Linked DNA regions of Alligator mississippiensis. The protein of the gene in region 1 purifies or fractionates together with the protein of each later gene. This does not show direct contact. Links are inferred from orthologs where the notes say so. Each region holds a gene or a part of one and is shown in the gene's direction. Other genes may lie near its edges. The genes, in order: PSMB9 and PSME1.

Region 1 (15,794 bases):
TTGGGCACAAGTGGGTCAAATGTGCAGGGCACTGAATGCCCTGTTTCGTGGAGAAAGGAGGTGCAGGGATGTAGACGAGTTCTACAAAGGTGGCAAAGTCTGAAGGGATTTTATCTCCGTGAAGAGAGGGAGAGAGGCAAAGAGAATGGCAGTCTGTGCTCCTTATGGAGGGAAGGCAGGTCTCCAGGATTTGTCTTGGGAGGAGAATTTTAGTGATGTTTGTCCCACAAAATGTTTCTCCCAAAGGATGTTACTTGTATCCTCTGCCAGGCCATCATGGACACCCTGCTGTGGGGAGGCCATCCAGCATTCCCAGTGCTCACAGGATAAGTCCAGCCACTGATGCTTGTTGTCCCGTGTTGAGGTGGTAAGACATGCACGTGTTTGCCAACTTTTTTTAAAGCCAGGGGGAGTCGGACTTACCATTTTTGCGCATCTGGTCCTGGCAATACTGATATGGGTGGCAATAATTGATCTAATGCTGTTGGATCCATCAGGCTTCACCTACAAGGGGCCTTTGGATACTGTAATAGCAGGCAGCTTGTAGCTCAAATGCAGTCTGGGGTGAGGGAGAATCAACTCCTTTACTTCCAGTTAGGAACCGGTTCTGTAAGCTTGAGTTTCCTCTGGAGTCTCTTCACATGGGATGAAGCCTCCTTTATGCAGGTTCAGATTAGCTGAATCTGGGCATCTTCAACCAGGGCATGTGGGCAGGGGAGGGCTGTGCTGTAGGAGAGAGGCACTGCACTTGATTTCTGCAGATGTCACGATCTGGGCTTTGTTGCTCTGTTCTGGCCCCGGATACCTGTAACCTCAGCCCCAGTGGGCCTAGTGTGGAACAGGGGGAAGCAGGCAGAGTCTCGGTTCCCAGCTCAAGGCAAATCTTTAATGTTAAAGTTCAAAGTACCACAAGATGCCAGCTTTGGGGAAGTCTGTCTCTCTTCGGTAGTTCTTTGAAGATGAAGATATTAGGAAAGTAATTGCCCACACCCAGCGGTGATGCGTAGGGAGTGCATGGTAGCGCACACTGTTGCACCCCCTGACAGCAGCGTTCCTGGGCAGGGGGTGGCAGGCGGGAGCACTGGTGCCCCTCCTGACAGTGCCGGCCAGGGAGTGCATCAGAAGAAGCAGTACCCCCGCAGCCAATCCTGCCAACCCAGAAGTGCCAGTGGCACACTGCTGCCAGTTGCAGGTCAGCTGGGTCGGTCGCAGGGGGACTCCCCCCCCCAGTTCCCCCCCACTCTGGAGGCACCAGTTGCCCATGCCCATGCCGGTTGCAGGCCCACTGGTGACTAATCAGTCCAATTGCAGGGAGGCAAATCCTGCTGCAACGGTTCCACGTGTATAGCTGATTGCTGCTAGATGAGGGTGTATCTTTCCTCCTACTCCTCTTCTCCTCGCTGCTGGCTCTGCACAGACATTTGAAAAAGGCTGTTGCCTTTTTGATTTGGAGCCAGGAAGAGAGAGGGGGAAAGGTATAAATGAGCCTTCTTGTTCTGTTCCCCTTTGACTCCCTGTGAATGAGAGGTGATCTTGGGAAGGGTGAAGCTGGTTTGTGACTTATTTCTCACTCTGCTTTTCTCTCTGCTTTCTGCTGTCCTTGTTTGAGCCTCCTTGGCTGTCAGGGTGCCTGTTCCTATGCCAGCCACTGCCTCAGCCCACGCCTCAACCCATGCTTCTCTGTGCCACAAGCTGAGCTGCTCCTTGGCCCTGTGGATCATCCCTTGGTTGCTATGGAGAGCTAGGACCATCCTGACCAGTCCCACGGCACAGTGTGAGATGGAGGCTGGATGGCAAAGTCCCTCTGGGACTGACTGACTGTTCTTTCCCCCCATCCCCAGCCTCGGTAGCTCTTTACACTCTGCAGTACCTCCTGTCGGCAGTGTCGAAATCTGGCCTGGGCCTGCCCAAGTTCACTATGCAGGGCTATGTGGACAGGAGCTCCTTGTGGGGTATGACAGCAAGGCCCAGCATATGCAAGCAGGCCCTGGATGCAAGCAGCCTCGCCCAAGCTCTGGGAAAACAAGAACTGTGTCCACAAGCTGCTGCAGGGCTGCTTCTGTGGCGAGGTCCACAGCCTCCTGCACCTCTACAGTGAGAGTCAGAGAGAGCTGGCCAGGTCCAGGACCAGAAGTGGGGAGAGCCTGCCATTCACCCGGAGCCTTGGTGGCACCCTGGAGTGGCCTGTGCCTCCCTTGCTTTGAGTCTATCCAAAGCAACAGCCAGCCCAAATCAGAGCCACGGCCTGTCCCATCCTGGCCCAGAGCAGGTCCCTTGGTTGGGGGGGACACCCCAGATCAGATGGTCCTTAGGGCTGAGTGCCCGGAGCACCGTGTAGCTGGGTCTGCACCAGCCCCTCTCCTCCTAGGGGGAGAGGGGCAGAGTCAGGGGTGACAGGTGCCCCCTGTGTCTGGAGGGGCACAATTTGTGGGTGGGCCCAGGGGTGGGCCAAAAGCCCCATATCCACTCCTACACTTCTGTGCTGTGGCTTAGTGTCCCCCCTCCCCCCCAACATGCCACCAGCCTGCACAACCAAAAAACTGTCCCATCCTGAGCAGTATTGGGGGCCAATCTCGGGGGGGGAGGGGGAATGCCCCCCTCTCATGCTCCTCTCACCAGTTGCCTGTGGAGAGTGGAAGTGTCCATTGCCATCCCAGGCAGGTCCAGGGACGGGGATACAACCAAGGCACTGCCAGGAGCAAAGCTAGTGCAGCACTGACCATCAGTGGGAGGTGTGTTGGGGAGAGCTATCTCCTCCCCCTCAGTGCAGGGAGTGACCCAGGCTGGAGCCGAAGCCGGCTCAGTACCTGCCCGATGTGCTGTTCTCAAAAGACCAAGAAGTTAAGCTTACAGAACAATAAAGTTTGCTTATTCAGAGAGCCCTCTTAGCCTGCCCCTCTGCTGGTCCAATACGGTTCCCTCCTCTCTCTGCTGGGCTAGTTTAATAACATATACTTAGGCAGAAAAGATTATTTGGGTAAATCCAATATCTTTTCTTAGACCAACTCAAATAGTTGGAAAAATTCTTTGCAAGCTTTTGGGCACAAACACCATTTGACAGGCTGAGGAAGCATCTGCAGTTGCTGTGTAACCTTCCTGGATGGAGTGATAAAGAATCAAGGAAGAGCACAGACCAACTGCAGAGACTTCCTCAGCCTAACTAAGGGTACTTGTATCCGAAAGTTTGCAAAGAAGAATTTTTCCAACTATTTGAGTTGGTCTAATGAAAGACATCAGATCTACCCAAAGAGCCTTGTCTGCCAATGTCCTTAGACCAACATGGCTACAACCTGTACCGCTGCTAACTTATACATAACACTCTTAAAAGTATCCACCCGAAAGCTTGCTTAAAAGTATCCATGCATCTTCTCCCTTTACATGTAAGGTGTCTCCGTATAATACTAACATTGGAAGTTTAGTTCAACCCATAGTTAAAGCACATTTTAACAGGTCTCTGTCAGTCTTGGTGTTGGCTTTTTAGCTCTAAGTGATTTTCTCAAATTCTCTGCATTCTCAATCCTTATTGGTTCAATTCTCTAGTTTCCTTGTTCAGATGTCTCTACTTTATTTGTCATTTTTCAATCTTCTTTGTAGTTTCTTCTTGCTTGCATGTTAACTCTGTTGTTAGCTCTGTTTCCTTTGGTGAATCTCATGATGCTGCTTCTGATGCTGCTTCTATTTTCCCCTTTATAAGCTGCAAGTGTCCTTCTGTTCCTTCTTAACACCTGTCCTTCTAGTGTGACTACTTTGTAGGATCTGGGACCACTTGATGGGAAACTAGTGCTTTTTGTTTCCACATTTGTCCAGCTGAAATAAGCACCATATCTTTGTTGTGCGCTTGTGGTAACTCCCTGGAACCCCTGTCACAGTACTGTTTTTGTTTGGGTTTGATGATTTTTTTAAATGTTTTCATGTTTTGTTTTTCACTCTGATGAGCACCATCCACAAGATTTGGCAGGCTGGTTTTGAGTTTCTTGTTAAACAACATCTGTGATGGGGACAATCCATATTTCATGGGCATTGCCCTGTAATTTAAGAGTGACAGGTAAACATCGGTGTGTGAATCTGTAGCTTTTTTCAATGATTTCTTCAGTATTTGTACTTCATTTTCCACCAGACCATCGGATCATGGGTATTTAGGACTTCAAGTGTTGTGACAGAATCCATATTTGTTTGCAACTCTTTAAAATCAAGACAATTGAACTGAGGTCTGTTGTCTGTTCTCACAACTTGTAGAATCCCACAAAAACATGTGATGTGAGTTATGACATGGGCTGCTGCTGTGCTTTCAAGCAATGCAATTTCAGAAGAATGAGAAGAATACTCCACCACTAATACATATTTTTTTCCCGCATGCATGAATAAGTCAATACCCACTTGATACCATGGAGTTACAGGCTCCTCCAAGACCATCATGGGCTCTTTTATTTGTGCTGATCTGTACTTTAGGCACATTGTACAAACCTTTATAGCATCTTTTATGTCATTATTTATGTTGGGCCAACATAAAGCACCCCTTGCTCTCCTTTTGCATTTTTCAGTGCCTAGATGCCCCTCATGTATTCTGTTTAACATGTCTTTCTTTAGCACTACTGGAACAATGAGTTGTGAGCCTTTGAACAAATTGCCAATACTGAGAGCTGTTCCTTGAACTGAGAGTAGGGGCTAGGTATATGTTTTCCAGGCTAAGCAGCACAAATTACTGTTATCACTCTTTGCAATGTGGTGTCCTGAGCAGTAGCTTCTGCAATTAGTGCCCACATGTTATCAGTGATAGGAATCACTCTTTTAATTAGATTAACATGTACTATGTCTGAGTCTGGCATTTTCCATTGTATCATATGCTCTGGACAACGTAACTGCAACTGACCATTGTTTCTTCAAGCAATTATCTTTGGCCCATGCTTGCCTGCTTCATAGTGATGTCCTCCTTTCTATATTGTTTATGTGTTGCCTTAGGGTTTTGTGGTCTTGTAATCCTGCCTTGTTCAGTGTGTTCTGTTTTTCCCCCAGCTTCTGCAGCCTGGCACTTGTTATCTCAGCCACTAGGCACATTCTAACTTACTTTCCCAAATTAAGCTCAGGACCCTCTAGCAGTATTTTCCTGAGGCTTGTATCCTTTGTACCCTATACTATTTGGTCTCTGATCATGGACTCTTTTAGATCTACAAAGTTGCATGTCTAGCTCAGCAGTCTAAGGTCACTGACAAATTCCTCTGTTGTCTCACATTCTTTCTGCTGTCTCATGTGGAAATGGTACTGTTCACAGGTTTCATTGTGTTTGGGTATGTGTAACAGAGAACCTGGGACTCTCTGTTCCTTTAAGAGGAAAAGCAGCCCAGCCAGGGAGCTCTGCAGGCTAGGCAGGGCACCACAGTTGCAGGTTGCCAGGGCAACAAGCTAATGGGTAATTACTATCAGGTACCTTTAGTTGGTCAGCTGACCGTAAGCAGGCAGGGCCCAGGGAACATATAAGCCTAAGGCTGGGGCTGGCAGGGAAGTCTATCTCTGGCTGCCACAAGGGGAGGAGCTCCTGTCCAGGGAAACCTGGGATACTGGGTTAGTCAAGGTTTATACTCTCATAGGGGCAGAAGGTTGCTACAGGTTGTTATTTATGTTATAGCCCAGGGGCTTGTGTTTATGTTGTGTTTATACGGTGGACCGGGATGAGGCTATAATGCGAGGAGGAGGCCTCATTGGCGCCAGTGAGGGCACAGCCACAGAGGGGCCGGAGAGCCCAGCACCAGTGAGGGCACAGCCACAGAGGGGCCAGGGGGCTGGCAGACAGGGGCAGGGGTCAGGTGACTGGAAAGGACAAACAAAGCTAGTGCCTCAAAGCCAGATCTGGTTCAGTGGGTCTAGGCTAGAAGGCCTAGCTAGAGAAAAGGGGCAGAGGCTGAGGAGGCTGAAGCCCCAACAGGGGGCAACATACCTGTAACACCTGCAAGGCATGGGGCATGGTAAAAGGGAGGTTTTGGAGCCATGCAATTAGCCCTCAAGGCTTTGGGTACAGTTGACTGCAGTGGCCCAGCCAAAGGCCTGTGACTGTAGAGGTCCAGCCAGGAACCTGTTACCAGTGGGACTGAGGCCTTGCAAAGGGCCATGGGCAGCTTCCCTATTTAGTTATATAACGTCAAGGTGCGGTGGGCGAGATAGAAGGGCACCCTAGGGGCGGAGCAGGGCACAGTCGCGGAGCCACCAAAGGACATCATGGCCACCCCTGGGATCCTGACCTGTTACAATATACAGTATTGCTCAAACTTTTTTGTTCATTTGCCATAGCTTTTCTGTTCTTCTGACAGTTGTAGGCTCTTATAAAGAGACAGAACTTCTGGGCCTGCTATATTAAAAAAAAAAAAAATAGCTACCTTGAGAAGATCTTGCTTCTCTGCAGCTCCACTGGCCATCCTATGTATGGTGAAGCTCTGCTTAAATTTCTTCCCGTTTTCTGCTGCATCGCTGGACAGCTTTATCTCCCCTGGAAGTCTAAGAAGGTTCATTTTTCTATCTTTCTTCACACCTCCCTCCTGGTACCATATGTTGTTCTCCAAAGACCAAGGAGTTAAACTTATACAACAATAAAGCCTGTTTATTCAGAGAGCCCTGGTTTCCTCCTCTCTCTGCTGGGCAAGTGTAACAACTTGTACATAACACTTTTAAAGGTATCTACACACCCCAACCTGCTACATCTCCCATGTCTCATTCCCACAGCTGAACGAAGCCGGGAGGAACCTGCACCACTTCCCAAGGGGCCACAGAAAAGGAGAGAGAGCAGCACAGAGCAAGTGCTGCAGCCCATTCTCTCCTTCCAAGCATTTCACTTTAGGCATGATTTTGCAAAATCAAAGTGCCTTGCTCTGAGACAGCAAATAGCTCATGTGTGACATTAAAGATGCTTGGCTGTGGGTGGGCAGGGTGGAGGCAGGGGGAGTTGTGGGCATTGCTTGTTGTGGGTTCTGAACATTGCTTGTTTGTAGCAAAAGAAAAAAAAAGGCAGAGGTAAGGTGCTCTTGGAGAGGAGTCTTAGAGCAGGGAAATGAGCAGGACTTGCACCAAATCAGTGCCCTGGAGCCCCCTTCTCTCTGTTTGCTGCTCTGGTTTGCCCAGCGCACAGCGCCTGCTCTCTGCATCCTGGGAGTGACACCAGGACAAGGCTGTGTCCACAGGGAGACGTGTATCAGTAGCACCATCAGGGCATGGGCCAAACCAGGATAAAGGGAGCTGTTTTTATTATAACTGATGCCCAGGTGGCTGAGCACCCCCTGATGTTCTGGATGCCAGACTCCACCGGGGCATCAACTGCTTGGTGCTGGGTGTGCAGAGGAGGCCTCAGCTGGGCAGGGGCAGCCCCAGATGCTCTGACATTTTGCACTGATCTCAGGTCCGATGGACACAACCTTCTTTCCTCCTTTCCCTTTTCCTTTCCTTCTGTTTGTGGGTGGGGAGGGGTGTGGTGTGGTAGGGCTGGGTGGAGAAAGTTTAAGATTGTAAAATCTTCTTTAGAGAATAAGCATGCACATCTGGCAGCTTGGGGCTATGTCAGTATATGCACTCTTGGTTTTCTCTCTCCCCATCCTGTTTGGAGGCTTCTCTCTGGGGCAGGGCTGGGGCTGGGGCTGGACACAGAGTAGGGCTGGGGGCAGTAGGAGGTGCTGGGGACTGGAGCTCTCTCTAGGCAGCACACCTGTCCCACCTCATCCCACCCTGGTGAGGCCTGTTCTGAGCCTCCTGCTGGCTGCAGCCCAGCCACGTCCTGCACCCAGACTGGACACATGCTCCAAGGTCCCTGAGTGCCAGGAAAATGCCAGTCTGCTGGCAGTGGTGTTTGTGTGAAGACAGGACCCCTCCTGCTGCTGCAGCTGTCCTGGACCCCTGGGTTGTATTCTAGTGGTGGGACGCAGCAGGTCAGGGAGCTTGGAATAGGGGCGCTGGGAGGCAGGACACCTGGCTTCTCTCCCAGCTCTGAGCACAACGTGGGGGTCTGGTGGGTTACAGCAGGGCCAGGGGGGGCATTCCCAGTGCAGATAGACCTACCAGACCTGGGCCAGAATAGAGATCGACCCCAACAGCAACCACAACCACACCTGCTATGTGGAGCACGTGAGCCTGGACGTTGGATCCCTGAGAGTGCCCTGGACAAGCGTGAGTGACCCTGCACAGGGGGGAGGGGGCCGAGGCTTGAGTGGCGGGAGAGACTGACTGACCCCTGTGGCTTTCACCTTTACATCGAAGCCAACGCGGCTGCTTTTATTTCTTATTTCATGCCTCACAGTCGCTGCCGAGATGCAGCTTCTCTGCTGGAAAAGAAGGCAAACTTAAAAAATGAGTGACGAATAAGGGTGTAGGTTGTAGTAGTTGTGTTGGTCTAAGGACACCGGCAGACAAGGTTCTTCGGATGAATCTAATGTCTTTTATTAGACCAACTCAAATAGTTGGGAAAAACATTTCTTACCAACGTTTTGGGTTTAAAAACCCCTCCACCAGGCTGAGGAAGCCTCTGCAGCTGGTGTGCGCTCTTCTGGGATGGAGTGAATTCATCATCCCATCCTCAGCCTGGCAAAGGGTTTCTAAACTGAAAGCTTGCTAAGAATTGCTGTCCCAAATATTTAAGTTGGTCTAATAAAAGAGATCAGATTCACCCAAAGAGCCTGGTCTGCCAAGTGAAGAATAGGGCACGTGGGAAAGTTCGTGTTTGAGTTGTAAGTACCGCTGCTAGGCACAGAAGATAAAATGTCTCCATTTACAATACCCGACCCCACGTTTGTCTTTTAAATGGCATGTGTCTCGCTCCCGTTTGTCCTGGGGTGGGGTGGGGGGGGGGAGTTGAGTGGGGCCCCGGGCACTGCGGGGGACGTGGCGGGCACGGCGGGGCGCTGGGCACCTTCTGCCGCAGCGGGGGCAGGGCTCGGTCCCTTCTCCCAGCCCCACCCCTGTGGCAGAGCCCGAGGGCAGCCCGCGGGGCCGGGAGGGTCGTGTCGTGTCGTGTCGTGTCGTGTTGTGTGGAGCCGGGCAGCGGGCGGGCCGCCGGCCTGGGCCAGTCTCCGCTGGGGCTCGTGTCCCCGGAGCCCGCGGCCGGCCGACGGCGCGGCCCGGAGCAGCTAGACGGCCCGCGCGGGGAAGGAGGGCCGCGGCCCCGAGCCCACGCGTGTCCCGCCCCGTCCCCACCCCCCGCCGCGTGGAGCCTCCCCGCGTCACGGGGTGTGGGGCAGGGCCAAGCCCGCAGGTTGCTCGCTCCGGGGGCGGGGCGGGGCGGGGCGGGGCGGGGCGGGCGGTGCGCGGCGCTGTCCAGCCAGCGCTAGCTCGGCTCTGCCGGCCCGGCCCGGCCGCACCATGGCCGGCTGCGGGGCGCCGTGCGGGGCGGGCGCGGAGGTCCGCACCGGGGTGAGTAGGGGCCGGGATGGGCCGGGGGGGGGGGCGGGGGGGTGCTGCTTCACCTGCCAGGGGAGCCCCCTCCCCCCCTCCCCACGGGGCACCCCCCCCCCGGGAGCTGCGGGCGCGGGGCGCTGCGGGGGACGCGGGTCTGTCGGTCCGTCCCGTCCCGTCCCGTCGCGTCCCGCCCCAGCTCCCCGCGCGGCCCCGCCGCCGTCGCTTTCGCTTTCCCTTCCCGGGCGGCAGCGGGGGGGCCGGGGGCCTCGGCCCGCGCGGCCCGGGCCCGGGCGCTGTCCAGCACCAGCCGCCCGCGGCCCCCCGCCCCCCGCGGCCCGGCCCGGCCCCTGGGCAGCGCGTGGGGGGGGCGGGGCGGGACATGCCCACGGGGCCACCCCATCCCACCGCACCCCGCTCCCCTCCCCTCCCCTCCCCTCCCCGGCCGGGCCGGGCCGGGCCGGGCAGAGCCCCCTGCCCTGACCCCGGCCCGGCCCATCCTTCCCCAGACGACCATCATGGCGGTGGAGTTCGCCGGCGGGGTCGTGGTGGGCTCCGACTCCCGCGTGTCGGCCGGGTAAGTGCCCTGCCGGGCATGGCCGGGGCAGTGGGACGGGGGGACAGGGGAGGGCGGGGGGTGCTGCGGTGCCAACACCCTGGTGCCCGCAGGCTGCAGGGCCTGGCAGGGCGCCCCATGTGCAGTCTGGGGCTGCCCAGGCGTGTTGGCGCCCATGGCAGGCAGCAGCACCCCGGCAGTGCGCGGGGCCGAGTGCGTCCCGCCCGGCGCAGCGGGAGCGCTGCCGTCCACTCGGGCACGCGGCACGGCCGGGCTCAGACACGACGGGCGCTCCGGGGAAGCGGGCTGCGGTGTCGGTCTGGGCAAGGCGGAGCACAGGCCGGGCGCAGGACACGGGGCGCGGGGCACAGGGCGCGGGCTGGAGTCAGCCTCGTCCTGGATTGCAGCCCGGGAAAGCGGGACTCGGATTTCGTGCTGCCGAGACGGCTCTCCGTGGAAGGGCCACGGGCCGCGGGGCACCGAGGGGAGCTGGTGGGCATGGATGAGCCCTGGCCCCAGAGGGCGCAGGCAGGGCGAGGGGCTTGAGGCCCTGCTCTCCGGCCACAGCCTGTCCGCAGCGGTCCGTCCCCATGCCGGGGGGCTGGAGGGCGTGAGGCCAATGGCAGGGGTGGTGGGGCCCCTCAGGCAGCCATTTTGTATCCTGTCCCCCGGAGACCTCCACAAAATGGCTGCTGGTGCCAGAGCAGGACCATGGACAAGATGGAGCAGGGGCTGTAGCCTGATCTCCAGAGCCAGGGAGGGCCAGGCCGTCACCATGGGCTATATGCTAGATGGCCCCCTCCACCCTGTCACCTGCCTTCTGCAGGGGGTGGGAGAAAGCTGTCTGTGACGTGCGGCTCAGGGGCACCGGGCTGGTCATTCCTCCCACCAATGCCACCTTGGTCGGGGCCGATCCCGCCGGCTGCTGAGCTCACCCGCCTCCTCCCAGGGGCGGAATAGCCCCAGCACTGCTGTGCTCCTCCCCCGGTCCCACCCCACGGGGTGCAAGAATGGTAGTTTCTCAAGTTTTGGGGGTTGGGGGGGGGGAGTGTCCTGCTTCCAGGTGTCATTCAGGGGAGAGCAAGGACCAAGTCCTGGGAGCAGGTGCTTATATTTTTCCCCCACCTAAGGGAAATACAAAAGAAAGGCAGTTCCTGAATTTTGTTTCAGAGCTGGGAACTGGGCATTTCCTTTGGAGGGAGGGAGGGTCTGGGGGACAGACTGCGCCAGAGAAGGGGGCATTGGGATGCGCTCTAGGAAAGGTGGGTGCCAAGGTTTTGGGGGGTGAGGACAGGCTCTGAGTGTTATTACAGAGCTCATCTGGGGGCAGGCCAGGCTGGGGCTGGGGGCGTTTGCACTCATGTTTGCCCGGGTCTCTCCCCAGGGAGGCTGTGGTGAACCGGGTCTTTGACAAGCTGGCTCCACTACACAAGCGCATCTACTGTGCCCTCTCCGGCTCCGCGGCCGACGCTCAGGCCATCGCTGACATGGTGCATTACCACCTGGAGCTGCACAGGTAGGGGTGGGCAGAGCAGGGCTGGACCCAGCAGGATGGGATCCATGTACCCCTGTTGCCCCATTCCAGCTCTGGTGCCTTCCCCCCGCAGCATGGACATGGATGATCCACCTCTGGTCCTGGCAGCTGCCACCCTGGTGAGGGGCATCAGCTACAAGTACAAAGAAGAGCTCTCAGCCCATCTCATGGTAGCCGGTTGGGACCACAGGAAGGGAGGGCAGGTGAGGCTGGGACAGGGCTGAGGGGGTGCGTGGAGGAGTCTCGGTGCAGCTCAGACCCCCAGATGGGATTGGGCCCATGCGTGACCAGAAGCTGCGCAGACTGGGATCAGGGCCTCTGTTGTGCGCACATGGTCCCTCCCCAGTTCTTTGCAGTTCTGCAGAGCAGCAAAATAGAGGGGATGGTGAGAGACCTGAGCCCAGAGAGGGGCAAGGCTAAGCCCTGGGTCAGCCAGCAGGGCTGGGCACAGACTCCCTCCCTGCTGACACATCCATGATCCATCCCCTCCCCCCCAACATCGCTCTCCCAGCGCCCCACACCTGGGCAGCAGCTGGCAGCTGGAAGCAAGACCTCAAGGGCTGGGAGGCGGATCCAAGACACCTGCCAGAGCTGGGCCCAGGCACTCGGCATGTCGGGCACAAGGGTAGCTGTGACTGTGGCTGAGTCCCTGATGCTGTGCTACTGGCTGCAGATAGACTGGAGTCACCTCTCACTTCTCCCACAGGTGTACGGCACGCTGGGGGGCATGCTGACCCGCCAGCCCTTTGCCATCGGGGGCTCTGGCAGCACCTACATCTATGGCTATGTGGATGCTGCCTACAAGCCAGGGATGAAGCTTGAGGAGTGTCAGCAGTTCACCAAGAACGGTACCTGCTCTGGCCACGGGTTACTGTGGCCTGGCTCAGGGTGTGGGGTAAGTGAAGAGGCAGGAGTCCTCCTCCTCCAAGGGGGTGGTTAACTGACCCTTCATTTCCCTCCCTCTCCCCCCAGCCATAGCCCTGGCCATGAGCCGGGACGGCTCCAGTGGGGGGGTCATCTATCTCGTGACCATCACCAAGGCAGGCGCGGAGGAGCAGGTGTTCCTGGGCGACGACATCCCCAAGTTCTACGACGAGTGACCTCTGTCCCGCGCTGCCTGGCACTCCCAGCAATAAAACTTGGAAAGAGGAGCAGAGCCGCATGTGCCCATCTGTGCTCAGACTCCAGGGCTGGGCCTGGCTGGCAGGAATCAGCCCTGAGCAAGGAGATGTTAGCAGAAGGGATTCATAGCCTGGTGCCCTCGAGCCCTGCACTATGGACAGCTGCCTCTTAGCCCACCCTGTAGCAGGCCTGGCCCAGGCATGGGGTGATGGGCCGGAGGGGTGATACAGCATTTAGCCTGTGGTGATGGCCCGGCCCTCCCTTGGCCTGGACACCAGGCTGCAGCACCTGCTCCATCTTGTCCATGGTCCCGCCCTGGTGCAGCTATTTTGTGCCCTGCAGCCTTCACGGGATAGAGCACAAATTGACCACCTGAGCGGACCCTTCCTCACCACCACCACTACTGCTATTGGGCTCATACTCCCCAGTCCCCCTGGCATGGGGATGAGTTGCTGGGGAGAGGCCGTGGGGCCATGACTGGAAAGCAGGGCCTCAACCCCCTTGCGCCATCCACCCCCTCCAAGGAACAGGGCTCAGCAGTGCCTGCCCACTCCCCAGTGTGCCCCATGGAGCACAGCCCCTGGCACCGGGACAAGGGTTACACGACAGCTATTGGGCAGCTTGCTCCTGTCCATGGCTCAGAGATAGGGGGTCTGTGATTAACACTGAATTAACACTCTGTTTGCACCAATGCCTGGCCCAGTGGGGTACAAGCAGGGAAGAGGCTGGGTCCCCCCGCTGCCATGGACAGGCTCGCAGTGCTGGGTCCCATCACCTGGTCAGGGCCTTTTCCTCTGGGCCAGTAGTCACCTCTGGCAGGTCCTGCTGAGGCAGCAGCTCCCTTTGCCACCCCGGGCAGTGCTTTCCCTCCTCTCTCAGGGTTTCTGGGAAGTGGCAGAGTCCCTGACTGGCCACGCCTATTTTCCTGGTATTTCCAGTGCAGGCACATGGTCACAGGGTGACTGAGCCCCTGGGCTGGCACAGGCTCCAGCAGGCATCACCTGTCCCAACACAGGCTGGCACCAGAGCAGGAGGGAGGGGTCCCTACATAACCTGGGTGGGTGGGACACCCAACAGAAGCCCCCACAGCCCAGGGGGTTGGGTTAGGGTAGTGAAAAGCATGGACCTACAGGAGTGGAGGTAGGACAAAGGACCATCACTTGCACTTAGACCTGGGGTTGGGGCTAGGGCTAGGGCCAGGCTTAGGGTTCAGGTTAAAGCTAGAACAAAATATGGCCCACAAGCCAGATCTGTCCCACAGAGGGATTTTAACCAGTCCATGGCAGGGGGTAGCCTGGGTCATGGGGGGCGGCCTGGGCCTTGGTGTGTGCAGTCAGCCCTGCTACCCCCAGGTGCACAGTGGGCTGGGGCAATGTGGCGGCTGGACCTGCTTCCCAGCAGCCCTGGTGGCAGTGGCTCCTTCCAGCTGCCACCGCGTGACTTGGCTGTGCCCCCGGGCTCCTTGGCCTGTCTCGTCTGACCCGCACCCAGCGCAGGGGGTGGGACCTGGGTGGGCAGGGCGTGCAGGATGGGGCTGTGTGCAGGCAGGGTGCAGTGTTCAGGAGCGGGATGGGTGGGTAAGGCCAGGATCACGGGGTGGGATCATGAAGCAGCGACAGCATAAGGCTGTGACCGGGGCCAGGGCACAGACATGATTCATTGCCCACATGCCTCTGCGACAGGCACCGGGTCTATGTGCAGGGCCATAGGGGGAACAGATCATGACTGCCCCATGCTGCCATCACCCTACGATCCCAAGGTCTCCACTGAGACTGGCCAGCCCCATGCGGGCATAGCAGGCCAGGTGGGTGGGATGTGGCCTCTTAGGGAGTGTTGGTGAGCTGTTGCTTGGGACAGGGCTGCTGATCCAGCCCATTACAGCTCTCCAAAACTCCTTCAGTGCCCCGTGGGCCCAAATAATTGCCCACCCCCGGCTTAGGCTGAGGGACTTGCTGCCTGTGCCTGAGGGCTTAGCCACCGTGCACCCTGCCCCAGCCCTGCTGTGTAACCCCTCGCAACCCCCTTCCCCCACAGCTCCTGCCCCAGTGGGGGTTGTGGGAACATGGGGCTGGGTCTCCGTGGGGAAAGGTGAGAGGCAGGGGCCTGGCGGAGCCTGCCTGGTCCATATTACCCCCTCCCTGCCCCCCACCTGGCACCCACTGCCTTCACCTGCCCCCTGACTCTGGCCCCCCACCCAAACTACCACTGAACCTGCTAAACACCCCCCCGACTCCTGTCCTCCTGGGGTTGCTGCCTCCCACACCTCTTTTGGGACCCCCTCCCTTTGCCCCCTGCCCCCTTGGCACTGCCTCTCACACAAGCCTGCCCCCTCAACAGCTGCCTCATGGGACAGGCAGGAGACAGCTCCCCCGCCTTGAGAAGAGGGGAGCAAAAGGGGGTTAATGCCCCCTGGCCCCACTGACCTGCCTGGGTGATTTGGGGGCTGCCCTGGTGTCTCCAGGCCCCCAGGGCTGCTCCCTACACTACTGCTCTCTGGGTGCCAGTGACACCCAGAAATGTGCCCACCCCGAGCAAGGTCTGTGCACGGGGAGCTGTGCGCACCCCATCGGGCACCAGGCCCTGAGAGCTTTCCGCCTGCCCAGACGGAGGAGGAGAAACATGCACGGGCTGGGAGCCAGGTTCCCATCTCACTGGGGAGGGGAGTGGGGGCTGGGGCCTAAAGCAGGGAACTGATGATGAGTCTCTGCCGCTGACTCACCGCGTGCCCCAGGGACATGCCCTTTGCTCCCCCCACCTCAGTTTCCCCCTCTGGGGCCAGGATGCAGCTCTTCCTGCCTCTCCCCATCCCAGAACCAGTGCTGGACCAGCTCTCCCAGCTCCCACAGCCCTGCTAGCAGCCCCCAGCCCTGGGACAGCCACTCCCCCCAACCCCAGTGCACAGTCCCTACCCCAGCCCTGCTCCCCCAGGGGAGTTTCCACTGGAAGTCCCTGCCTGCCCCAGCCCTGCTGCCCTGCTCCCCCTGGGGGAGTTTCTACTGGAAATCCCCGGGCTGGGAGCCACCACCTTGTGCTTTTGCTTTCACAGCTGGGCTTTGGGGGGCAGAGTTGCATTCCCCCCACCCCCACGCCTCCAGGGGCTGGGGCACACAGAGGGGCCCTTTGACCTCTCGCCTGCCTCCTCCCGGAGCCTCTAAATGTGTTGGGGGCAGGGACACCCCCAGGTGGGGCAGTGTGGGGGCACGCAGGGAGCCAGGGGGC
Region 2 (15,413 bases), on another chromosome or scaffold:
ACACACATTGGAGAAAGTCCAGTGGAGGGCAACAAAAATGGCTCAGGGACTGGGGGACATGACTTATGAGGAGAGGCTAGAGGAACTGGGCTTATTTAATCTGGAAAAGAGAAGACTGAGGGGAGGGATTTAATAGCAGCCTTCAACCACCTACAGGGTGGGCAGCAGCCTTCAAAGAGGATGCAGCTGGACTGTTCTCAGTGGTGGCAGATGACAGAACAAGGAGCAATGGGCTCCAGTTGCAGCAAGGAAAGTTGAGGTTAGATTTTGGGGAAAAATTTTCTCACAAAGACTATAGTAAAAGACTGGAACAGACTACCCAGAGAGGTTGTGGAATCTTCATCCTTGGAGTTTTTTGGGGACGATCCTACTTTGAGCAGGGAGTTGGGCTAGATGTGACCTGAGGTACCTTCCAACCCTAACTTTCTATGATTCTAACTGGGAGAAGGCTGGTGGGAATGGCCTTCTTGGGCTGAGGTATCGTGGGAATAGGAGGGGACGGACATCTTGGGCTGAGGTGACTGGGGGTCTGGGAGGGAACAGAATTGGGCTGAGGGGGGGTGGCCATCTTGGGCTGAGGTGACTAGGGCGGTCCTTGAGGGGGTGGCCGTCTTGGGCTGAGGTGACTAGGGCGGTCCTTGAGGGGGTGGCCGTCTTGGGCTGAGGTGACTAGGGCGGTCCTTGAGGGGGTAACCGTCTTGGGCTGAAGTGACTTGGGGGGGGGGGGGGGGGTCACCATCTTGGTCTGAGGTAACCAGATGGGCGGGCATCTTGGTCAGGGGGGTTGAGGAGGTGCTATGTCTAATTGTTCCTCTCCCTCAGGCCGGATGAGAGACGATTTGCTGTCTTCTCTCTCACGGTATCCTCAGATGGACGGGAGGTCCTCGGGGGGTAAGTGACCATCTCACCCGGTTGGAGTCGGTCCAGTCCTGCCTGGTGCCAGACGGCTCCTAGCCATGATGCAGTGAAACCCAAACTTCTCAGATAACACTAGGGGATCTGGGGACTCCATGTTCCAGCACCACACAGTGCCACTTGGTTCTTACCTACAATGCCATGTGCCATGGTCCTCTTGAGGCAACATGGCTGAGAGCAGAGAGGATTCTGACATAGTGTAGCCCACACAAGGCAGTGCTGTCTGGTTCTTGCAACCACAAAGTGAGCAGAAACAGGAAATGTGGTCTGGTTCTCTCCCACAATGTCATGGAAACCTAGATGCATCTCTGCTGAGAGCAGAGAGGATTCTGGGATAGCTCCGGCCAAATATCTCCAGTCCCCTTCCTGACGAGTCCATCTTCCTCTCCAGAGCCAATGACGGTTGTGTGTACGTCTTCGACCGTGAGCAGAACAGGCGGACTCTCAAGGTATATAGCCCAGGTGGTGGCAAGGGCAGAGAGGATTCTGGGAGAGGTGGGTTACCCGCAGTGCCCAGCAGGTAGTGGCAGTGGGTGCCCTCCAGCTGGAACACAGAGGGCTCTAGGAAGGGGATACCCATGATACCAAATTAGTAGGTGAGGACAGAGGATTTAGGGATGTCACTTGGAGTACCAAGCCCTAGGACAAGAGCGGAAAGGATTTGGGGTGGGCGATGTGCCTCCTCCTTTGGCATAGTAGATACAAGAGGTGCTCTCAGGCTAAAGTAGAGAGGATTCTAGGAGGTAAATTGCCTTTGACCTCTTGGCATTCTGGGAAATGGGTGCCTTCAGGTGAGAGCAGAGAAGATTCTGGGAGAATACCCACAATGCCCCCACTTCCCCCCCAGATCGAGTCACATGAAGATGATGTGAATGCCGTGGCCTTTGCGGACGCCAGCTCCCACATCCTCTTTTCGGGGGGTGACGATGCCATCTGTAAAGTGTGGGATCGGCGCACTATGCGAGAGGACGACCCTAAGCCTGTGGGCATGTTGGCTGGGCACCAGGATGGCATCACCTTCATCGACAGCAAGGTGAGACCTGCGGGGGCGGCGGGGTGCTAGATAAAAATGGGAGAAGCAGGGGTTGGTACAGGACCAGCGTGATCTCCTTTGCCTAGGGGGATGCCCGGTACCTGATCTCCAACTCCAAAGACCAGACCATCAAGCTGTGGGACATCCGGAGGTTCTCGGGGCGTGAGGCCATGGAGGCATCCCGCCAAGCCGTCACCCAGCAGAACTGGGACTACCGGTGGCAGCAAGTGCCCAAAAGAGGTCAGGAGCAGGGGGACAGGAAGTGGAAGATGAGCCTACTTGTTGGAGGACAGTTAGCCTGAGTTGGAGAATAGGATGTGGAATGGCTGGGGAGGACAGGATGGAAAACCAGGTGGGGGTGTGGCAAAAAACAGGAAGAGAGGTCGCTGCGGGATTAGTCGGGACAGGAAGTAGGTTGTCCAAGAGGTGGATGTTGGGTGGTGGAGACAGGAAGTGGAGTGCAGGTAGGGTGGAGAAGGGGGCAGGAAGGATGCAGCGTAAGAGGAGATTCCGTGGGCAAATCAGGAAGTCCCGCCTCCTGCCAAGAGGGTCAAAGTGGGAAGTCCTGCCTCCCCAGGTAGGAAGTCCCACCTCTGCAGGGCAGGCTCTAATGCAGCTGGTCTCCGGCAGCTTGGCGCAAGGGGAAGCTTCCGGGCGACAGCTCCCTGATGACCTACAGGGGCCACGGGGTGCTGCACACCCTGATTCGCTGCCGCTTCTCCCCACCCTACAGCACCGGCAGCCAATACATTTACAGCGGCTGCTCCACGGGCAAGGTGGTGGGTGAGTTGCTTGGGGGTGGGGCTACACTGGAATGTGGGCAGAACTAGAAATGGGTGGGGCAGTGGGGGGGGACAGAGGCGTGGCCAAATTGGGGTGGAATTGGGAGCCAGGGGGCCATGAAGTAAACTGGGCCAGTGCCTGCCTGATGATGAGGTAAGGGCAGAGCCCTTGCTTCTCCCCCAGCAACCAGTGTAAAAGGGGAGGGGCTTCAGGATGCAAGGGCGGGGCTATGGGGCAGGCAGTACCATTGTGTCCTGGGGGCAGGGTTGGGCTGTACCATTGTGTCCAAACTCAATTGTGTCCTAGTGCTTTGGACTACCACTGGGTCCAGAGGTGGGGGGCAATGGGCAGGATGGCCCTCCCATTGGGCCAGGCCCAGACGAACTGTTCCTGTGCTCCCAGTGCGAGGGGGGGGGGAGTTCCATTATGAAGTTTCATTCCAATTGGGGGCTTGGGGCAACAGGGAGGGAGTGGCACATACCACTGTTGGGGGGGGTTGGGAAATACCATTCTGCACAGCTAACGGGGGGGGAAAGTAATCATTTATTCCAACGCGGTCCCCCCCAGTTTACAGCCTCCTGACAGGGCGCATCATCAAGAAGCTGACCAATCACAAGGCCTGCGTGCGGGACGTCAGCTGGCACCCCTATGAGGAGAAGATTGTGAGCAGCTCGGTGAGTGGGTCAGGATCCAGCAGGGGGGAGGAGGGGTGGGGTGCAGATCTATGGCCTGGCAATGCTGAAGAGGGGGGAGGCATTCTCCAGTTGCGTCCAGCAGGGGGTGCTCTAATTCCCCCCACCCCTTCTTCCTGCAGTGGGACGGGAGCCTGCGTGTCTGGGAGCACCGCCAGGCTGAGTACTACGAGGATGACCTCAGGGACCCGGGGAGCCCCCCCGTGGCCCCCAAGCCCTCCCGGGCCACGCCCCGCTCCTCCAGCCAATAGTGCACCTCAATCGTGGCCCCCCCCCCACAGGAGAGATTGGCGATGCAATCCAGCCCCCCCCCTCCTCACTAGGGACAGGGACCCTTGGGTGGGGCTTCCCCCTTTGTGGAGCCAGGGCCTTGCTGTTCCTGGGCAGAGGCGGGTGGTGCGGGGCTGGCAGGTGAGGGCTCCCTGCCCGTGGCGGGGATGCTGGCTTAGGAGTGGGGCAGGGGGCTTTGCCCTCCTGACAGTGCTAGTTCTGACAGAGGGGGGAGGGCGCTGGCTGGCTCCGGGCAGGCGGAGGGGAGCCAGATCTAGGTCCTCTCCTCTGCCCGTCCTTGACCTCCCCTCCCCTCCCACATCCTGAACTCCCGTCAGCTGTTCCCCCCCCCCCCGCTGTGGGGGAGGGGTGGTCTCTGGGTTCGGGTGGGTCTTTTGTGAGTCCCTGGCTTTGCCTTGCCTCTCTGATTTGGGGGGCTGGTATTTTGGGGGGGGGGCTTCTGTTTTCCCCCCCTCCATGGAGAAGTGGGGCTGTATATTCTCTGCTAGTGGGGGGATGCCCCCTTGTTTTTTAAAGGCTGGGAAGTGTGTGGGGGTGTCTCCCATATTCTCAGTCCCATGCGGGTCCCCCGTGCATGGAAGGGCCAGGCATGGGGGACTTGGAGGGGCTCTGTGCCCCCCCTTCTGCCCTGTGCTGCACGGGGGCTGTCTGTGTCACCTGCTGTCTATGTTGAGAATAAACCTCTCTAGACGTGTCTCTGTGCCCCTTGATTTGGGGGGGAAGCCCCTCTTCCCCCGACCCAGTCTGCAGGGGATAATACTCTCTACTTACCCCCCCAGATTCCCTTTGCCCCCCTCCAGCCTTCTTGTCTGCACCCCCTCACAGGCCCCTGGGATCAGCCAGCAGCTGCCACCTGTCACTTTTAGGCCAGGCCCCGCAGCTGTCTTGGGCCAGGCCAGGCTGTGCCCGTCAGTGTGGTGCCATGGGGGCCTGGGAGCTGTGGGGGCTGGCGCGGCGGGCACTGGGGCTGGCAGGGGGCCTGGGTGCAGGGCTGGTGCAGCTGGCTGGGGAGCAGGCCGCCTGGGTGCTGGTGCTGCCGGGAACACGCCGGGCCTATCATGCCGGGCTCGCGCTGCTGGTGCTGCTGTCGCCCCTGCTGCGGCTGTACGTTAGCCCCCATGCCGTCTTCGCCAACCCCCGCAACTTCTTCCATGTGTGAGTCCCCTGGCAGGGGGCTTCTGGGCTGGGAGCAGGGAGGGGGGGAGTGGGCTTTAGAGGTCTTGAGATGGCAAGGGAGGATCCTCGGTGGGGGTTCATGGGGGTGGGTGGAGTTTGGGTGCTGGGTTGGGTGGATAGGGGGGAACTGGGGGCTCTGAGGGTCATGGGAGGGACGGCAGTCTGTATCTGGGAAGGGAGGGGAGGGAACTGCGTGAGGGGACATCTGAGGTGGGACTTGGGGTTGGGGCTCAGGGCAGAGTGAGTGGGAGGGCAGGAGCTACTGGGGGCAGGATCTGTAGGGTGTTGGGGACTGGGCTTGAGGTCTGGGGGGGCTTTGAGATCTCAAGGGGTGGGGGAACAGGGATGGACGGGGATGGGGTTGTGTGGACAGGTCCAGGGCATGGGGCATTTGGGGGTAGAGGGAGATGAGTGCAGGAGGGCGCTGGAGCAGGGGTGGGTGACAGAGCCTAGGTGCCCCCCTCACCTCTGCCTCCTCCTGTCCACAGGAAACTGGTAGCGTCGGCCTGGGGCTGGACCAGCCTGCTGGTGGCGGGGCTGCTGCTGCCGCTGGCAGTAGGCGCAGCAGGACGGGTGGGTGCAGCGCTGCGCCCACTGTGCCGACTGGCTGTGGGCGCAGGGTTCTGGGTGGGCGCCCGCGCTGCCTTTGCCCTGGCCGAGGACCTGACGGGCCACTGCTATGACCCGGTGCCTGGTGGGCGGTTGGTGAACGCGCTGCCCTCCAAGGCAGCCTGCAGCGCAGGCGGGCACCGCTGGACTGGCTTTGCCCCCTCGGCGCCTGCCTTCCTGCTCACCTTCTGCCCACTGCTGGTGCTGGAGGAGGCAGGCGTGTTTGGGCGCTGCCTGGCTCGGGGGCTGCGGGCGGGGGCCGCGCTCCATGCCCTCTTCCTATTCAATGTGGCACTGCTGCTACTGTGGCCAGCCCTGCTGGTGGCCACGCTGCTGTGGCAGCCGCCCTATGCCCCCCATGCTGCTGGTACTGCCACTGCCACCCTCTGCTGGGCCCTGGCGTACCGTGGCTGGTACCGCTGCCGCTGGTCCCCTGGCCGCCCTGGCACTGGCCTCTTCCCCCTGGCCGCCGAGTGCGCCTGAGGGATCCTGGCATGTGGGGTGGGGAGGGGGGTGGGGTGCGGGGGACCTGGATATCCAGTAGAAAGAGTGCATGGGGTGGCCTCTGCGGTACATGCAGAGATGGGAGGGGGTGGGAAATCTCAGTGTCTAGAGAACAGCTGGAGAAGAAGATGGGTGATGCCAACCTTGGTGTCTGGGAGAAGGTGGGAGGTGAGAATCTGGGTTTTCGGGAGGAGGAGAGGGTGGGGCCATCTCTGGGCAATGTGTGGAAATGCAAACATCTGGGAGGAGGCCACCTCTGGAGAACATCTGGAGAAGGTGGGAACCCAGGCATCTGGGGTGGGCCAGGCCTGGTGAACACCTGGAGAAGCTCTGCACAGCAATGGGCAATGGACTCATCCTAAGCTCAGTCAGGAACCCAGGCATCCAGGAGAGGGGAAATCAGCTGGAGAGTCTTGTGCAGGGGCGTCTCCCCCTGCCCTGGAGTGTGGACTTGTCTGGGCTGAGGAACCGCGGCATCTGGGACAGCCTGCCCCTGGCCATCGCTAGGAGACGACTGAGGGGTCCATGTGTCCTCGGCACCTTCTGGGGCCAACAGGCGTGGAGAAGGGACCCAAGCGTCTGGGAGACCACCGGTCAATTGACGCCAGACTACTTTTGTCATGCGTGCAGCTTGTTCCCACCTTTGGATGTGGGATGGGAACCGGCTCGTTCAGGAGAGCCAGGGACACCAGCTGGAGAAGGGCAGGGTCCCCGTCTGCCCCAGCAGCGATGTGGGGTGTAGCCCCAGGTGCCCAAGCAGACGCCCAGGCTGAGAACTGAGGTGCTGGGGCACGAATAAAGGTGGCCTCTGAGTCTGGCGTTGCCTGCCTGGTGTTTGAAGTGGGGCCGGGGGGGCACCCAGGTGCCTGGGGGAAGTGGAGGGGCTTCTGGTGGGGGGGAACCAATGGGAGAGGGGGCCCAGGGCTCTGGGAGGGGGAGAGGCAGAAAACCCAGGCATCAGAGACCAGTCTGAAACCCCCACCCCCACTGAGGTCACTGCTGGGGAAAGCTCACAGCCCTTGTCTCGCCCCACCCTGAGGGCACTGGTGGGGAAAGTTTGCAGTCCTGCCACCCCTCCTCCCCCACCACCACTGCCAGCACTGCTGGGGGAAGCTCACAGTCCCCCCCTCTCCCCCCACCCCATCCTGAGGGCACTGCTGAAGGAAGTTTGCAGCCTTTGGCTGCCGTCCAAGACCGGAAATCCCCGGCCTGCTGCTTTCGATTTCACTTGTCACGCTCACTGCTGCGGTACCACGCGCCTGTGCCTGGACTGGCCCCACACCCCCCCGGTGCCCCCCGGCCATGGCCGCCCTCCGCCTGCCCCCCGCCAGCCAGGCCCAGGTGAGGGGGGGCGGGTGGGGAGGGCAGGGGCCTAGCCGGGCTGAGGCCTGGCTGGAGTAGCTGAGGCCTAGCCAGGGTATTTGGGGCCTGGCTGGGCCTGTGGGCCCCCAGCGGTGTGGTGGGGATGGGGTGGGAGGGAAGTGGCTGGGAGCCCCCCAGACCCCCCGCTGGAGATGGAGGGGCTGTTGCTGGCGAAGGCAGCACAGGCTGGGCTGGGGGGAGTTTTGGGGGGGCCCTGGTGACCCCCCCCCATTGTGCTCTACCCAGGTGGATGCCTTCCGCAGCCAGCTGTGTGCTGAGGTGAGATGCTGCGAGCTTCCCCTAGCAGTGCCCTTGGGGCTGGGGGAGGGGCAGGGGCTGCAAGCTTCTCCCAACACTGCCCTTGGGATGGTGGGGCAGGGGATGTGAGCTTCCCCCAGCAGTGCCCTCAGGGTGTGGCGGGGCAGCAGTGGCTGTGAGCTTCCCCCAATGGTATCCTCAGGACGCGGGGGGTGGGCAGGGGCTGTGAGCTTCCTCTGGCAGTGCCCACAGGGTGGAGGGGCAGAGGCTGTGAGCTTCCCCCAGCAGTGCCCTCGGGATGGGGGGGGCAGGGGCTGTGAGCTTCCCCCAGCAATGCCCTCGGGGAGCAGGGGGGTGAGGGCCTGCGAGCTTCCCTCAGCAGTGCCCTCGGGGGGGGGGCAGTAGGGACTGCAGGCTTCCTCCAACAGCGTCCTTAGGGGGGTGGGGGCAGGGGTTGTGAGCTTCCTCTAGCAGTGCCCTCGGGGAAGGGGGGGGGGAAGGCCTGCGAGCTTCCCTCAGCAGTGCCCTCGGGATGGGTGGGCTGGGGCAAAGGCTGCGAGCTGTTCTCAGGTGCTCCGTCCTGTTCCCCCACCCCAGACTGAGCAGATGGTGGGGAGTCGGTTCCCAGAGCAGATCGCAGAGTTGGACGCTCTCCTCAAGGTGGATTGGGGGCGCAGGACATGGGGGAGGCTAGAAATGGGGGGCTCGGGGGCATCTGGGCAGGGTGGGTGTGCTAAGGGAATAGGGAGAGACTGCAGGCCTGGAGGATTTGGAGGGTCCAGGTCCTGCTGGGGGGCCCAGGGCATGGGATGGTGGTGGGGGGAACAAGAGATGGGTTGGGATTGAGGGGGTGGAGGGGGGGGGCCTGAGGTATTTGAGGGGGCTGAGGATTGTGGAGTGTGCTGAGGGGGTTGCAGTCAGGGGGAAGGTGTAGGGGACCTGAAGAGACTGGGGCTGGAGGGAGGGGTGTGGGGGCACTAAAGAAGGCTTTGGGGAGCCAAGGGGTGTTGGGGATTGAGTGGGGGCTGGGAGGTGTGGGGGGTCAGGGAGGGGGGTTGGGGTGTCTGTAGAGAGTTGGGGCTTGTGTCTGGTGGCAGGAGGGAGTGGGGGCTGGGAGGGGCATGGGGGGTGCTGGGGGTATCTGGGAGTTGAGGGAGGGAGGAGCTGAGCTGGGGGGATCGGGCAAGGGGTCTCTGTGGAGTCAGGGTTCAGGGCACCCACTGATCTCTCCACCCGACACCAGGACCCCGTGCTAAACCTTGTAGACCCTGGAGCACTGCGGGCTGAGCTGGACATCCCCCTGCCCGACCCCGAACGGGACGCCCAGCGCCAGGTGAGGGCTGGGGGGAGCTGGGGAGGTGTGCGTTGCCCAGCACACAGGGATATCTGGGGTGGGGGGTCCAGGCTGTGTGGCGGCTGCAGGGAGAACCCAAGGGTCTGAGAGGGTCTCTTATCTCCCCCCCCCACAGAAGGAGAAGAAGGAGAAGGAGAAGGGGGATGACAAGAAGGACGATGATGACAAAGGTGGGGCTGTGGGGGGCCATCAGGGGGATGGGGGTTGTGGAAAATGTGAAGGGGTCATGGGGGGTTGGAAGGCTGTGGGGGGCTGGGGGTAGGAATTGCGTGGGTCGGAAGGGGCTGGTGGTTGTTGAAAGGTGGGAGGGCCTGGTTGGGGCATTATGGGGCTGGGGGCATATAGAGGGTCCACAGGGGCTGGGGGGTGTCAGGCACTGGGTGGTGTGGGGAGGGCCGGGTGGTCACGGGGACCCCAGGGTGGGTGCTGGGGGGGTGGGGGGGGCACTGGGGGGGCATGGGGGTCTCAGGGTGGTGTTGGAGGGGCTGGGAGGCCACAGAGCAGGTATAACCCCAGTGCCGGCAGGGCCTCCGTGCGGCCCAGTGAGCAGCAACGCCGTGGTGCTGGGCCTGGTGCAGCGCGTCACCCCCCGGTTGCAGCGTGCCAAGGAGGAGCTGGGGCTGGTGAGTGACACGGCAGTGATGCAAACCCTTGCACCGCATAACTGCAACCTGCACCGCCACTGCTGTGCCCGGGGTGGGGGGCTGGGGCTGGACATGCAACTCCACCACCACATGAGACCACACAGCCATACGCCATTATCATATGGCTGTATGCACGTCACACCACACTGCCACTAAAGACCACCGCAACTATGTCACCACATGGCTGAACACCACTACACAATCATGCAACACAACTGCACACTGCTACACAACCATAGAGCTATGCACCCCAGGGCAGGGCGCCAGGGAAGAGCTGGGAGTGGTAGGTCACACTGTACAGTTATGCGACCACACAATACCGCACTGCTATGCTACACCACTACGCAGCCATGCTCCACTGCACACCATGACCTCACACTGCTGCACAACACCATAGCCATATGCCATGCTGTCATGCAGCACTCTAGGGAGGAGCTGGGGCTGATGAGTGGTGCACAACACAGCAGCCACACAACACTGTACACCACAACACAGCTGCACACTGCACACCATTCCACAACTGGAGGCTATTACACAACTTTACACACCGCTACAGAACCACACAATGCTACACACCACTACACAACTGCACACTGCTCTGCAACAAGACAATACCGTGCACCACTACATGCTTGCACACTTATATACAGCTGCACACTGCTACCCACCACAACCATGAGCTGCTACACAATACCACAAGTGCACCACTACTGCAGCACACTGAGGGGAGCTAGGACTGGTGAGTGATTCACAACACCACTAAAAACCACCACAACCACATTGCTAAACACTACTAGACAGTCACACAACACAGCTGCACACTGCTACACAACCACACAGCTATGCACCTCTACATTGCTATACAACTGAACACAACACTGCAGTCATACAGCTACATACACACCACAGTGTTACACCACCTCTGTAAGGCACCAGGGAGGATCTGGGGTTGGCAAATGTCACACTGCTACACAACTACACACCCCTATACAACACCACACACACCAACACCACCGCAGGGTGCCATAGAGGGCCTAAGGCTGGTGAGTACCACACTGCTACATAACCACACACTACGCATACAGCATCACAACCCCACATCTACACAACTGCACTGCCACTGCAATGCCCCCAGGAATTGGGGTTAGTGAGTGTGGCCCAACTGTACAATACTGCAACTACACAGCTATGCAACAGCACACAAGAACACACTACTGCAGCTACACAACCCTGCAACCATGCTATAACTATACATAGCACTACTGCTGTGTCTACCCTGGAGACCACACTGAGCTATACAATTGCACAGCAACCACATGGCAGTGGGATATGTGTACACACACACACACACACACACACACACACACACATATACAGAACTCTAGCATCCAGGACATGGATACGCAACCATGCAACCAAGGTATCCGGGATACACCCCCCCACCCTCCCCCCAGGCATCCAAGACCATGCAACCCCCTCTCCCCACAGGTCTCCGTGTGGGTTCAACTCCAGGTGCCCCGAATTGAGGATGGCAATAATTTTGGGGTCGCTGTGCAGGTGAGCCCTCCCACTGCCCCTACACCCCCCACTGCCCCCCAGCCCAGCTGCTCACCCCGTCTCCCCTCCCCTCCCAGGAGAAAGTCTTTGAGCTCATGACGGCATCTCGCACCAAGCTGGAGGGATTCCAGACCCACATCTCCAAGTAAGCGCCTGCACTGGGGTCCCCCCCAAACAACCCCACCCTAGCACACCCCACTCCCCCTTCAGCAGCCCATGGGGCCCCAGCATCCGTCCAACCCAGTGCACCCCAGAAATGCTCTGTTGGGGACTGTTTAGTCCCATGGCTTTTTGCAACCTCAGAGCTTGTTCTGGTGGAGGGGGGCAGCGGTTGCATTTCATGAAGCCCTTGCCACATGTTACACATATCATGCACTTCACTGGTGAATCATGCAATAAATTTTAGTCTACCCACATGTGCGTGGTAATTATAGGAACATAAGAACTGCCATTGCTGGGTCAGACCATAGGTCCAGCTTGCCCCGTCTCCTGTATTACACGGAGAGCAAGCTGGATCCAACCAGCATTTTTTCCCCCGATTTACTTCTCTCACTCACAGCATTTAAAGCCTAGGATGTTGTGATTCAGAGGCTGTGCCCCTCACTCTTATGCTCAATAGCTACCGATGCCCCTTTCCTCCAGGAATGTGTCCCATCCCTTTGCAAATCAGGCTAAAACATCAGCTTCCCTCATATCCTGTGGCAGCCTGTTCCGTTCTTTCATTCCGCACTGGGTAAAAAAGAATGTCCTAGTGTTTGTTTTAAACTCACTGCCTGCTAGTTTCATGTTGTGACCCCCCAGTTCTTGCCTAGTGAGAGACAGGCAGTCCTAGGGGCATTTGTACACATCGTGGTTTTTGCCCTTCCTTGCACTGCAATGGCACGACTGTTTGCATGAGCGGGTTTTCTGGACGCTTTCTTTCTGGTGCATTAGAATAAAACTCTTCGTGACTTTCTCTTCACCATTTAGTATACGGTAAACTGCTCCTGTCCTTATTGAGCATCTCTTTGCTAAACTAAAATGGCCTGGCCTCGTTAGTCTGTTCTCATATGGAACCTGTCCCTACCACTGATCGTCCCCATTGCCCTTCTCTGGACCTTCTTCAGTCCTTCCGTATCCTCTCTGAGGCCTGGGGACCAGACCTGGGCACAGTATAGCAGGTGTGGACGCACCGTAGATTTCTAAGGGGGCATTGAGGTACTTTCTGTTTCGTTGATGATTCTCTTTTTAATCACCCCTAACGTTTGCCTCGTTGACAGCTGCTGAGTACAGAGTTGTTTGGCAAACTGTCCACGGTGACTCCCAGATCTTTCCTGGGTGGTAACAGCTAAGGCAGAGCCCATCAGAGTGTGTAGGGAGAGTTTGGGGTATTTTTGTCCATGTGCATCGCTTATCTACATTGAATTTCATCCACCATTTAGTTCCCCATTTGCTCAGTCGTGCCAGCTCCTTCCGTAGTTGCTCATGGTCCACCTTGGTCTTTACCACTATGAATAATCTCGTCAGCTGCAAATTGGGCCACCTTGCACTGAATTTTTGTTTTGCTGCTTGCAAACCCTGGATCACTGCCAGTCATGTTTGTCTTGAATGAGGCACAGCTGTGCACGGAAAATACATGCTATTTGTGACTGGTGTGATTAATAACACCACCCCAAGAAGAGCATTATTACAGTCCTCAGCATCACCATGATTATGATTAAGTAATAATCATCACTAGAATATAGTTGTGATAATAATATATGGTATTATAATATATTACCAAACACTAATTATAATAGAGTTGTTATAATACAAGCTATTACTATATTATTACTATTATCATTATAGCTTTTATATTGTATAATAATACTTAACTATATTTATCACATAGCTGTTAGAATATAACAATAGCATAAATATTTAATTATTATAAGATAGTTACATTATGATAACATCTCACAAAGTACATAAGCGAGCACGAGCATGTGTAACAAAATGGTCAAATGTAGTGTACAAACACAACAATATAATAATAATGCTAATATAGTCATAATTATTATATGGTTGTTATAACATAACATAACCGTGGCATTGTTATTAAATGATACATACAATTATAATGTAGTTATTGTGATATCATAAGAGGTAGCATTATATTATTAGTATTATAATATAGATATAATATGCCATTATTCACATTTAGCTAGAGTATAGTTACTATAGTATAACTATAATGTTAATGTATAATCATTATAATTATAATATCGTTATTACAATTCAGTGGTGATGGTGATTAGCTGTTTGTTTGCTCAGCGCCGGTCTGATATTTGTGGGCCTTGCAACTGTCTGTGGATTTAATTGCCGCGAAACCTCTTCCTCATTGCAAGAGTCGCATTTGTTTTTGCTCCAAATCCCAGTTTGTTGCAGTTTGTATTTGCCTCAGAAAAGATTATGGAATATAGATATATAATCTATAAATTATAGATTTTATTATGAGTAACAACAGCAGCCACAATAACAGCAATATCATCACTATCACTAGTACCGTTATTATTGATGCTGTTTGTGGGCTTGGCACTTGGCTGATATTTCTGGGCCTTGCAACTTTCTCCGAATTCCTTTGCTGATCACAGCAGAGCCGGTGTGCTTGTGTTCCATATCCCAGCATGTGGCACTTCGTGTTTGTCTTGGAATAGGCTCATGTTTGCATGGGAAAGTTCTGCTCTTAAGAAACAGTAGTGATGATGGTCTCTTTAGACTGGAACAGGCTTGGCGGGTGGTGGTGGGGAGAGGAGGGGGCAGGTCGCCTTCCTTTGTAGCAGGTGTCATGGTCTCTACCTGCGAATCTCTTGAGTGGATATTAATGAATTTTACAGCAGCAGGACATTGGCTGCTGAGGTCTCCCTGCTTTCCCTGGGACAGGTTCGGGTGTAAGATCTGGTGTTGTGTCAGGGTTGATGGTAGTTTTACGAAGAGTTTAGATGATGGAGTGTATGAGATGGTTTGGATAGGGATGATCCTGCTTTGGGCAGGGGGTTGGATGTCACATCACGTACGACGTAGCATGGAATCTGTGCCAGTCTTCAACGTTCCAGCCCCGCCCACGGGTATCCTAATATCATAAAAGCCTTAGTCTGTCTGTCTGTCCCTAACGCTTCATTCGCACTCTGATTGGCTGTCTTGGCAGCCAATCAGAGTGCTCCAAGAATGCTTGGCCTGCAGGTGGTGGCATCACCGTGCTGCCTTGACAGCAGGGAAAGAGGGGATGGGGTAGGGGGCTGAGGCCAGCTGCGTGGAGGAGGCAGAGGCCGGTGGCACAAAGGGGTGGGGAATAGGTTTGGACCTGCAGCGGCAGCATGAGGGAGGTGGGGAATGGGCCTGGGCCTGCTGGGGCATGGGGGAAGAGCAGGCCTGGACACTGCCATGACAGGAGGGCGGGCGACGATGACAGAAGAGAAGGAGCAGGGGGGCGAGCCCAGCACAGCTCCCCCCCCTGCCCTGCTCCCAGGAGGCAGTGGCAACGGAGTGGACAGAGCCAGGGATGAGGTCAGCAGTGCTGGCCTTACCCCCTGCTCCCTGGATGTGGCTGCGGCACGGGGTGCTGGGTGGTGGCTTTCTGCCTGTGTCCCCCTATGTTATTCAGGGGGATGGGAGGCAGGCGGATACAGGCTAGGCGGAGAAGCAGGCCCAGCCCCACGGCAGAGTGGGGTGGGAAGGGGGAGCGTGCCTGGCCCTGAAAATGGGGGCGGAGAGGGCCAGGCACAGGCCTAGGCCTCTGTCCTCGCCTGCACCCCACTCCTCTGTCATTCTTGACGGGCAGTTGGCTAGTAGGTATATATTTTTGCACTGAAAAATCTCTGCCAGTTGCAATAGGACTGCACCAATTTCTGTTCACAATCCCCGTTCTTTCTACTCTGATCCCCTTCCCACTGCCCTAGGTTGCTGTTTGGACTGCAGTTTTCCACTCAGGGCTATAGATAGGTGTTGGCCTTATGCCTGTCTGCAGATTATTTTGTTTGCAAGGCAAACTTCTGATTATGAGAGGCCTATTTCTTTGCCATGGGAATGTTTCTTTGCATGGAAGCTTTTCCCAGATTCACGTTGTGACATGGAAACAGAGCAGTATCTGTTTGCGCTGAGGCGTCATTTGAAATGGATTGATTGCACCCAAAAAAAGGCCCGCTGATGGTAACAGCATCAGATTGACTTGCATTCAGAGTGTCAGGCCACTGCAACGGATACCTGTTCAGACTAAA

The links.
Region 2: the proteins of PSMB9 (region 1) and PSME1 purify together in Homo sapiens (affinity purification with mass spectrometry; 3 studies listed by BioGRID and IntAct, counting the BioPlex papers as one, with this or other methods). This does not show direct contact. The link is inferred for Alligator mississippiensis from reciprocal best matches to the Homo sapiens genes PSMB9 and PSME1.

What each region holds. Positions count from the first base shown.
Region 1 is NC_081834.1:63,911,923-63,927,716, forward strand, and holds PSMB9 (proteasome subunit beta type-9), read left to right. Parts: upstream 1-9,271; 5' UTR 9,272-9,330; coding exon 9,331-9,381; intron 9,382-9,872; coding exon 9,873-9,940; intron 9,941-11,303; coding exon 11,304-11,435; intron 11,436-11,526; coding exon 11,527-11,656; intron 11,657-12,159; coding exon 12,160-12,301; coding exon of another isoform or gene 12,302-12,348; intron 12,349-12,425; coding exon 12,426-12,553; 3' UTR 12,554-12,604; downstream 12,605-15,794. UniProt on the Homo sapiens protein: The proteasome is a multicatalytic proteinase complex which is characterized by its ability to cleave peptides with Arg, Phe, Tyr, Leu, and Glu adjacent to the leaving group at neutral or slightly basic pH.
Region 2 is NC_081830.1:7,782,740-7,798,152, forward strand, and holds the start of PSME1 (proteasome activator complex subunit 1), read left to right. Parts: upstream 1-7,208; 5' UTR 7,209-7,305; coding exon 7,306-7,344; intron 7,345-7,611; coding exon 7,612-7,644; intron 7,645-8,220; coding exon 8,221-8,283; intron 8,284-8,866; coding exon 8,867-8,956; intron 8,957-9,092; coding exon 9,093-9,147; intron 9,148-9,502; coding exon 9,503-9,600; intron 9,601-11,109; coding exon 11,110-11,178; intron 11,179-11,255; coding exon 11,256-11,323; intron 11,324-15,413. Other genes in the region: DCAF11 (DDB1- and CUL4-associated factor 11), read left to right, coding at 823-891, 1,307-1,364, 1,763-1,948, 2,035-2,188, 2,579-2,731, 3,299-3,405, 3,546-3,674; FITM1 (fat storage-inducing transmembrane protein 1), read left to right, coding at 4,637-4,869, 5,379-5,982. UniProt on the Homo sapiens protein: Implicated in immunoproteasome assembly and required for efficient antigen processing. The PA28 activator complex enhances the generation of class I binding peptides by altering the cleavage pattern of the proteasome.